Linked DNA regions of Callithrix jacchus. The protein of the gene in region 1 binds, or shares a complex with, the protein of each later gene. Links are inferred from orthologs where the notes say so. Each region holds a gene or a part of one and is shown on either strand. Other genes may lie near its edges.

Evidence for each region.
Region 2: TAF6 (region 1) and TAF12 share a complex: the UniProt entries of both Homo sapiens proteins name them as parts of the TFIID basal transcription factor complex. The link is inferred for Callithrix jacchus from reciprocal best matches to the Homo sapiens genes TAF6 and TAF12.

The regions. Positions count from the first base shown.
Region 1 is NC_133503.1:13,465,630-13,469,544, reverse strand, and holds the start of TAF6 (transcription initiation factor TFIID subunit 6), read right to left. Parts: upstream 2,800-3,915; 5' UTR 2,315-2,799; intron 1-2,314. Other genes in the region: CNPY4 (protein canopy homolog 4), read left to right, coding at 3,266-3,298. UniProt on the Homo sapiens protein: The TFIID basal transcription factor complex plays a major role in the initiation of RNA polymerase II (Pol II)-dependent transcription.
Region 2 is NC_133508.1:65,289,334-65,293,148, reverse strand, and holds part of TAF12 (transcription initiation factor TFIID subunit 12), read left to right. Parts: intron 1-160; 5' UTR 161-173; coding exon 174-245; intron 246-2,051; coding exon 2,052-2,303; intron 2,304-3,815. UniProt on the Homo sapiens protein: The TFIID basal transcription factor complex plays a major role in the initiation of RNA polymerase II (Pol II)-dependent transcription.

The DNA.
Region 1 (3,915 bases):
TATCGCTACTAAAAATACAAAAATTAGATGGGTATGGTGGCGGACGCCTATAATTGCAGCTACTAGGGAGGTTGAGGCAGGAGAATCACTTGAACCCGAGAGGCAGAGGTTGCAGTGAGCAAAGATCATGTCACTGTACTCCAGCCTGGGTGACAGAGCAAGACTCCTTCTCAAAAAAAAAAAAAAGAAAAAAGAAAAAGAAGATAAAATCCTTTTAATGTCCTACAAAGCCCTTCAAAATTTGCCTTCTCCCATTACATCTCTGACTGCCTTTCCTTCCTGCTTCCACTTTGATCCAGACACATATTCCTTCAGGCTGCCCCTTCAACTTGCCAGGCATACTCTTGTCTAATAGCCTTTACTCCATTCCCTCTGCCTGGAATGTTCTTCCAGAATGCCTGATTGCCTGTCTGCCCTGACCACCCTATTTAACTCTGCACTCTGCCCTCAGAGTGGGAGCAGCCCACTTTTTCTTTTCTTTTTTTGAATGAATGCCACTTTTTCTTTTCTATAGCATTTAACATCTGGGTTGGGTGCAATGGCTCACGCCTGTAATCCCAGCACTTTGAAAGGCCAAGGCGGGTAGATCACAAGGTCAAGAGATTGACACCATCCTGGCCAACATGGTGAAACCCTGTCTCTACTAAAAATATGAAAATTAGCTGGGCGTGGTGGCATGTGCCTATAGTCCCAGCTACTTGGGAGGCTGAGGCAGGAGAATCACTTGAACCCAGGAGGCAGAGGTTGCAGTGAGCCACTGTACTCCAGCCTGGCAACAAAGTGAGACTCCATCTCAAAAAAACAAAAAAACCTTCTAATTCGTTGTATCGTTTCTTATTGTTTATTACCCCCACCACACACCATATAGACAGGGCTCTTTATTTGCTTTTTATTTTTTTGAGATGGAATTCACTCCTGTTGCCTAGGCTGGAGTGCAGTGGTGCGATCTTGGCTCACTGCAACCTCTGCCTTCCGGGTTCAAGCGATTCTCCTGCCTCAGCCTCCCAAGTGGCTGGTATTACAGGCATGTGCCAGCACAGCAGGCTAATTTTCCTATTTTCTTTTTTTTTTGAGACAGAGTCTTGCTCTGTCGCCAGGCGCCAGGTTGGAGTGCAGTGGCGCAATCTCGGCTCACTGCAACCTCTGCCTCGTGGGTTCAAGTGATTCTCCTGCCTCAGCCTCCCGAGTAGCTGGGATTACAGGCATGAGCCACCGTGCTCGGCCTAATTTTTGTATTTTTAGTATAGATGGGGTTTCGCCATGTTCCTCAGGCTGGTCTCGAACTCCTGACCTCTGGTGATCCGCCTGCCTCGGCCTCCCAAAGTGCTGGGATTACAGGCGTGAGCCATCATGCCCAGCTGACAGGGCACTTTATTATGTTCACTAATGTATTCCAGGATCCCAGCCTGGGACATCATAAATATTTGTTAAGTAGATGAATTAGTTGTAAGGTTTAGAGATGTTGGTACTCGGTAACTACTAGTTATTGCTGTTATTAAGAAAATATGTCACAGGTCCAAACTTCGAGCCTACACTGCAGTTAAAAGCAAAGTAGACCAGGTGCAGTGGCTCACGCCTGCAATTTGGGAGGCCGAGGTGGGAAGATCACCAGAGGTCAGGAGTTCAAGACCACCCTGGTCAACGTGGCAAGATCCCATTTTTTTGTAAAATCACAAAAATTAGCAGAACATGGGGGTGGCCACCTGTAGTCCCAGCTACTTGGGAGGCTGAGGTGGGAGAACCATTTGAACCCAGGAGGTAGAGGTTACAGTGAACCGAGATCATGTCACTGCACTCCAGCCTGGGCGCCTGAGGGAGACTCCAGTCTTAAAAAAACAACAAAATGGAGCCAAGCAAGGTAGCTCACTCCAGTAATCCCAGCACTTTGGGAGACAGAGGAAGGTGGATCACTTGAGGATGGGAGTTTGAAACAGCTTGCTTAACATAGTGAGACCCCCATCTCTGCAAAAAATTGAAAAATTAGCCTGGCATGGTGGACCTGTCATCCCAGCTACTTAAGAGGCTGAGGTGGGAGGATCACTTGAGCCTAGGAGTTCCATAGCAGCGTGGGCAACAGACAGAAACCCTGTCTCAAGGAAAAAAAAAAAAAAGTCAAGTGGCACACTGGAGCTGGACATTAGGAAGATTAACATCAATACTGTTCAGGAATAGTACAGGTGGTAGGGTGGGGCTGTGCTGGAAGGATGGGAAGAGGGAGGCCGAAGAAGAAACTGGTTCTTTTCAAACCATCCCTGGTCTCCTCCCCAACTTTTTAAAGTCTTATCTATAGGGAACACAATTATTCGAGACATACTCTGTGCCTGGCGCCGCGTTTATAAGAGGCGGTCGTGTCCCACTTCCCTGGCGAACTCTTACGAATCCTTCAATACCCGGCGGTACCCTCTGTCAGTAAAGGCTCATAAAACACGCTACAGTCACAGGATCTCCTCAGATCAGTGGAGGCGGCAGGAAGGCGTCCCAGGGGAGGATTAACTTGAGCGGGATCCCAGCAGAGAAGCAGGTCGAAAATCCCCGGGGAGCGCGAAAGGAGGCTCAGAGAGCCCACCTCATCTCCTGCAACATCTCTCCAATGCAGACACACACACGGGGTCCCCACGAGCACGGACACACAACCAACCGTCTTGTTTCTAGTCCCCACAAGGGACCTTCAAAGGGTCTCCTCCAGAGTACCACTCAGACCCGCCCCCGCCAGCCGAACGCTGGGAGCAGGAAAACTCTGGCCGCCGCCAAGACGCCGCTCACCCGGCGCTGGGCGCCATCTTGGCCCCGCCCCCTCCTAGGAGCAGGTCCTGGCAGAGCGGAAGTCCAAATCGCTACCGCTTCCCCGTGCCAGAATACGTTCTCTGGACTCACGGAATGAAATTATATTTTAAAATTTTGTTTAAACATCTACATATAAGAAGAATTCCGTCTTGGTTGAATTACTGCAAATTATTCCTTCACTACCCGGCTGCCAGGACCTTGAAGAGGCGCCACAAAACGGAGGCGGAGAAACTCAGAGCAATGAGGCCCCGCCCCCTACCGAGCTGATTCTGCTCGTGCGCCGACCTTGCCAGGCTGGATTTAAGGTTGCCGCCAGCCGCCTGGGCATTTAAAGGACCCACTGCCTTCCCGAAGTTGGTTTGAAAGCAAGCGATGGTTGTTTGTGGATGGCGCTTTGTCATGGGACCTATGTGGTTGGGAATATTGCTTTTCCTTTTGGCCGTGCACGGGGCTTGGGCTGGGAAGCCGAAGGAAGAGGACGATGACACAGAACGTTTGCCCAGCAAATGCGAAGGTATCTGAAGGGGGTAGCCCCTGTTGGCATCGCCCGGCCACACCTCCTTCTTCTAGGCCGGACCTCTTGGACTGTATTGGGTGGGTCACCTGAACTCCTTGAAAGCTTGAGGGAGGTTCTGGTGGAGCTTGGCTGAATTTGAATGGATGGGGTCAAGGAAGCAAACGTGTAGTGCCGCCCCAAAGCTATGGCACTGCACTTCCCAGGAGGCATTCAAAGAGAGCCTGCATTTTTTTGGTTGACTTGGACCCCCCCGCCCCCCCCCAATGGATTGTGGGAATTGTAGTTCAGGGACCATTGGCCCTGGACTGCCAACTTTAGAGCATCTTCAGTGCGTGTTTCCCGTCACCAGACCTTAATCTGCAGAGGCTGCAGGAGCTCTGTGAGGCTCAGGCCTTGTGGACATCTGCTGCCCCACCCTAGCATAGACGCTCCCAAATTACAGGCCCCACGACCCCTGACGGGGTTTGAGGGTGAGTAATTCTGCCCTTCAAGCTCAAAAACAACAGGAGGCCACACGACTAGGGGAGGTTCCCCATCCGGGTGAGACTTTGCAGACGGTGTGTACTATGTGGATTTTTCAGCAAGCAGCACTTTCCGTAGCTGCACTAGTGTGG
Region 2 (3,815 bases), on another chromosome or scaffold:
AAGAGGTGGAGATGTTTATCTTGGCTTCCACTAAGGAAAAGGAGATATATTTTTCCACATCCAGTTTGCTTGGATCCTGGTTGGTAAAGAGGTACCAGGCCATGCAACTAAAATGATTCCATGGCAAGGATATTGCTTGATGCTAGTTGTTCATTTACAGGTAGCTTTTGAAAATGGCTGCCTCTCATTTCACCGGGCTCACAGCTGTTGCTGATGTAATTAAAGATCTAGACACTCAGATAGCTGTAAGTAGGTTTGAGGCTACTGTGGGCAAAACTTGGTGAATGTGCTTCTGATTGTCATGACCCCCAAGCTGACGTCCACAGAGTAAACCTCATGGCTCTAAGATTCAGGAGTCTCAGCTGCTTCAGGCTAGGGTGTCTGCATGTACTTAGATTGCTAACACTCCGAGAAAAATTGCTGTTGACAAAAAGGAGTTTACTTTTAACAACAGCTAAAATTTATGTTTTTGGGGCATACCCCCGACATAAACTTAAGCATGTTTGAAATGCCAAAATGAACTAGTCTGTATTGTTAAGCTTTGTGACTGATTTTTTTAAAGGATGTGATTGTGCCATGACTTATTTGAATTTAACATTATTTGATACTTTAAAAATAATGCATGTAGTACTTAACTATTTTTACAAAGTTCTCAAAAATGTCTTGCTTATTCTAGTTTATTTTTATTTTATTTTATTTTATTTCATTTTATTTTTAGACAATGTCTCACTCTGTCACCTAGGCTGGAGTGCAGTGGTGGTATGATCACAGCTCATTGCAGCCTCAGCTTCTTGGATTCAGGCAATCCTCCTCCCTTAGCCTCCCGAGTAGCTAGGACTACATGCTAAGTGAGTCCAGTTAAGTGGGATTTTTTTTTTTTTTGAGATGGAGTTTCACTCTTGTTGCCTAGGCTGGAGTGCAATTGTGCAATCTCAGTTCAACGCACCCTCTGCCTTCCAAGTTCAAGCAGTTCTCCTGACTCAGCCTCTCAAGTAGCTGGGATTACACATGCCACCATACCTGGCTAATTTTGTATTTTTAGTAGAGACAGGTTTTCTTCATGTTGGCCAGGCTGGTCTTGAACTCCCAGCCTCAGGTGATCTGCCTGCCTGGGCCTCCCAAAGTGCTGGGATTATAGGTGTGAGCCACCATGCCCGGCCCCTAAATGGTTTTTTGTTTGGTTTGTTTGTTTGTTTGCTGAGACAGAGTCTCATTCTGTTGCCCACGCTGGAATACAGTGGCATGATCTTGGCTTACTGCAAGCTCTGTCTCCCATGTTCAAATGATTCTCCTGCCTCAGCCTTCCCAGTAGCTGGGAGGGATTACAGGAGTGTGCCACCATGCCCAGCCAATTTTTTTGTATTTTTGGTAGAGATAGGGTTTCACCATGTTGGTCAGGCTCATCTCGAACTCCTGACCTCAGTTAATCCACCCGCTTTGGTCTCCCAAGGTGCTGGGATAATAGGCGTGAGCCACCACGCCCAGCCCCAGCTAAGTTTTTGCAGATAGGGCTTCCCTATGTTGCCCAGGCTATTCTGTAACTCCTGGACTCAAGTGATCCACTACAGGCACCCAAAATGCTGGGATTACAATGAGCTACTGCACCCAACCCTAGTTTATTTTTGTACGTAAGATTCCTTATTTCATTTACTTTCTTCCTTGTTTCAATTTTGTGGTCAATTTTATTTAACATTTAGAGAAGAGATGGTTTCTAAATGTCAGGTGAAAGCAAAAACCATTCTTCATTCCCTCAATTTTTAACATGTAGGTATTAAATGGTCACCATTCCATATATACTGAAGAACTCTCAAAGTCTAACAGACCTGATTTTACTTGCTTTTTTTTTTTTTTTTTTTTTTGGTAGAGATGAGGTCTCACTATGTTGCCCAGGCTGGTCTTGAACTACTGGCCTCAAGTGATCTGCCCACCTGGCCCTCCCAAAGTGCTGGGATTACAGTTGTGAACCATTGCACCAGGCCTCTTTTTACTCTCAAGACTCATTCTTTATTACAGGTTCTTCTAGAACTAATTCTTATGCTTTTCTTCTTCAGTTAATTGGCCTTGGTCCTCACAGCTCCAAAAAGAAACAGGATCTCGATAAGCTCTATGAGCTGAAGTCCAAAGCTCGGCAGATTATGAACCAGTTTGGCCCCTCAGCCCTAATCAACCTCTCCAATTTCTCATCCATAAAACCGGAACCAGCCAGCACCCCTCCACAAGGCTCCATGGCCAATAGTACTACAGTGGTAAAGATACCAGGCACTCCTGGGACAGGAGGTCGTCTTAGCCCTGAAAACAATCAGGTATCATCCTCTTACTCTTTCTTCCCTGTAGCCACCTCTCACCTGTTATTTCAACCTGTAATACTTAAGAGATGTCCATCTTATATGCTGCCTTTTTCTCTTAGCCGAAAAGGTCTTTTCCGTCTTACGGATTTCTAAGTTTTTTGTTTGTTTGTTTTTTTTAAGGCTAGTCATGTTTGTTTGTTTTAATGTAAGTAGAGACTATATTTGGGCCAAATTTGAGGACCCCAACTCAGGAGACACAGATTCAGTTTGCCCTGAATATATGATCCTCTAACATTCTTTAGCAAATTATCATGTACAGTGTTTATCAAGTTTTACTGTGTTGTATATTGTTGTGTGTATGCATGTATCCATCCATCCATGCCTGTGGTAGGTTTTTTCTTTCATTTTGATAGGTGTTTTATATATATGTTAACTATATAGTTGTTAAATAAAATAATTAATTCATTTTTCCTATGATGGAAATACTCTTGGTTCTAGCCATTCCACCTTCTAGTTCATCCAATTCCTGCCATTATTAATTTTCTGCAGTGATTCTAAAATCTGCTCCCTTCTTTCTACCCATAATTCTGATTTTGCCTCCAGAGCCACAAGAAATAAGTATAATCTCTTTGAATTGGGTTTTGTAGGCTGTGAAGAAAAAAATGAATGAGTTGGCCCAGTATTTCAAGGGAATGAGTGAAGGAACTGGCAAAGGTTAATGAGGGATGGTTGGGCAGACAATCAGGAGATCAGTCTCTTTTGAATATGGAGTCTGTTATAGAAGACAGAATTTAAAATTGTATAGGTAGCGAGGCGTGGTGGCTCAAGCTTGTAATCCCAGCACTTTGGGAGGCCGAGGCGGGCGGATCACCTGAGGTTGTGTGTTCTAACCAACATGAAGATCAAGACTATCCTGGCCAACATGGTGAAACTCCATCTCTACTAAAAATACAAAATTACCTGGGCGTGGTGGCTCATGCCTGTATTCCCAGCTACTTGGGAAGCTGAGGCAGGAAAATTGCTTCAGCCTGGGAGGTGGAGGTTGCCATGAGCTGAGATCGCAACATTGCACTTCGGCCTGGGCAGCAAGAGAGAAATTCCACCTCAAAAAAAAAATATTGTCTAGGTAGGGTTATGGCAGAACATAGTGACCCTGTACTAGTAAGTTTCCATTGGAACTTTCAGGTAATATACAATCTTTGCAGATATTTAATAAAGAAGTAAAAGTATGTAATAAAAATAGTGTATTCTATAGAGTAGTAACTTGGCAGTAAGGGGACAGGATGGGTAGAAAAGGGGGTTAGACTGGGTGGATGACCAATTCTAAGACTTTTTCAATAAATCAAGACATGTAGTGAAGGCTTGAATTAGGTGATTAGGATAGAATGAAGAAGAATAGATAGATATGAGACATCATTAACTTTTATTTATTTTTTAGAGAAAGGGTTTTGCTCTGTTGCCCAGGCTAGAGTGCAATGGTATAATCATAGCTCACTATAGCCTCAAATTTCTGGGTTCAAGCAATCT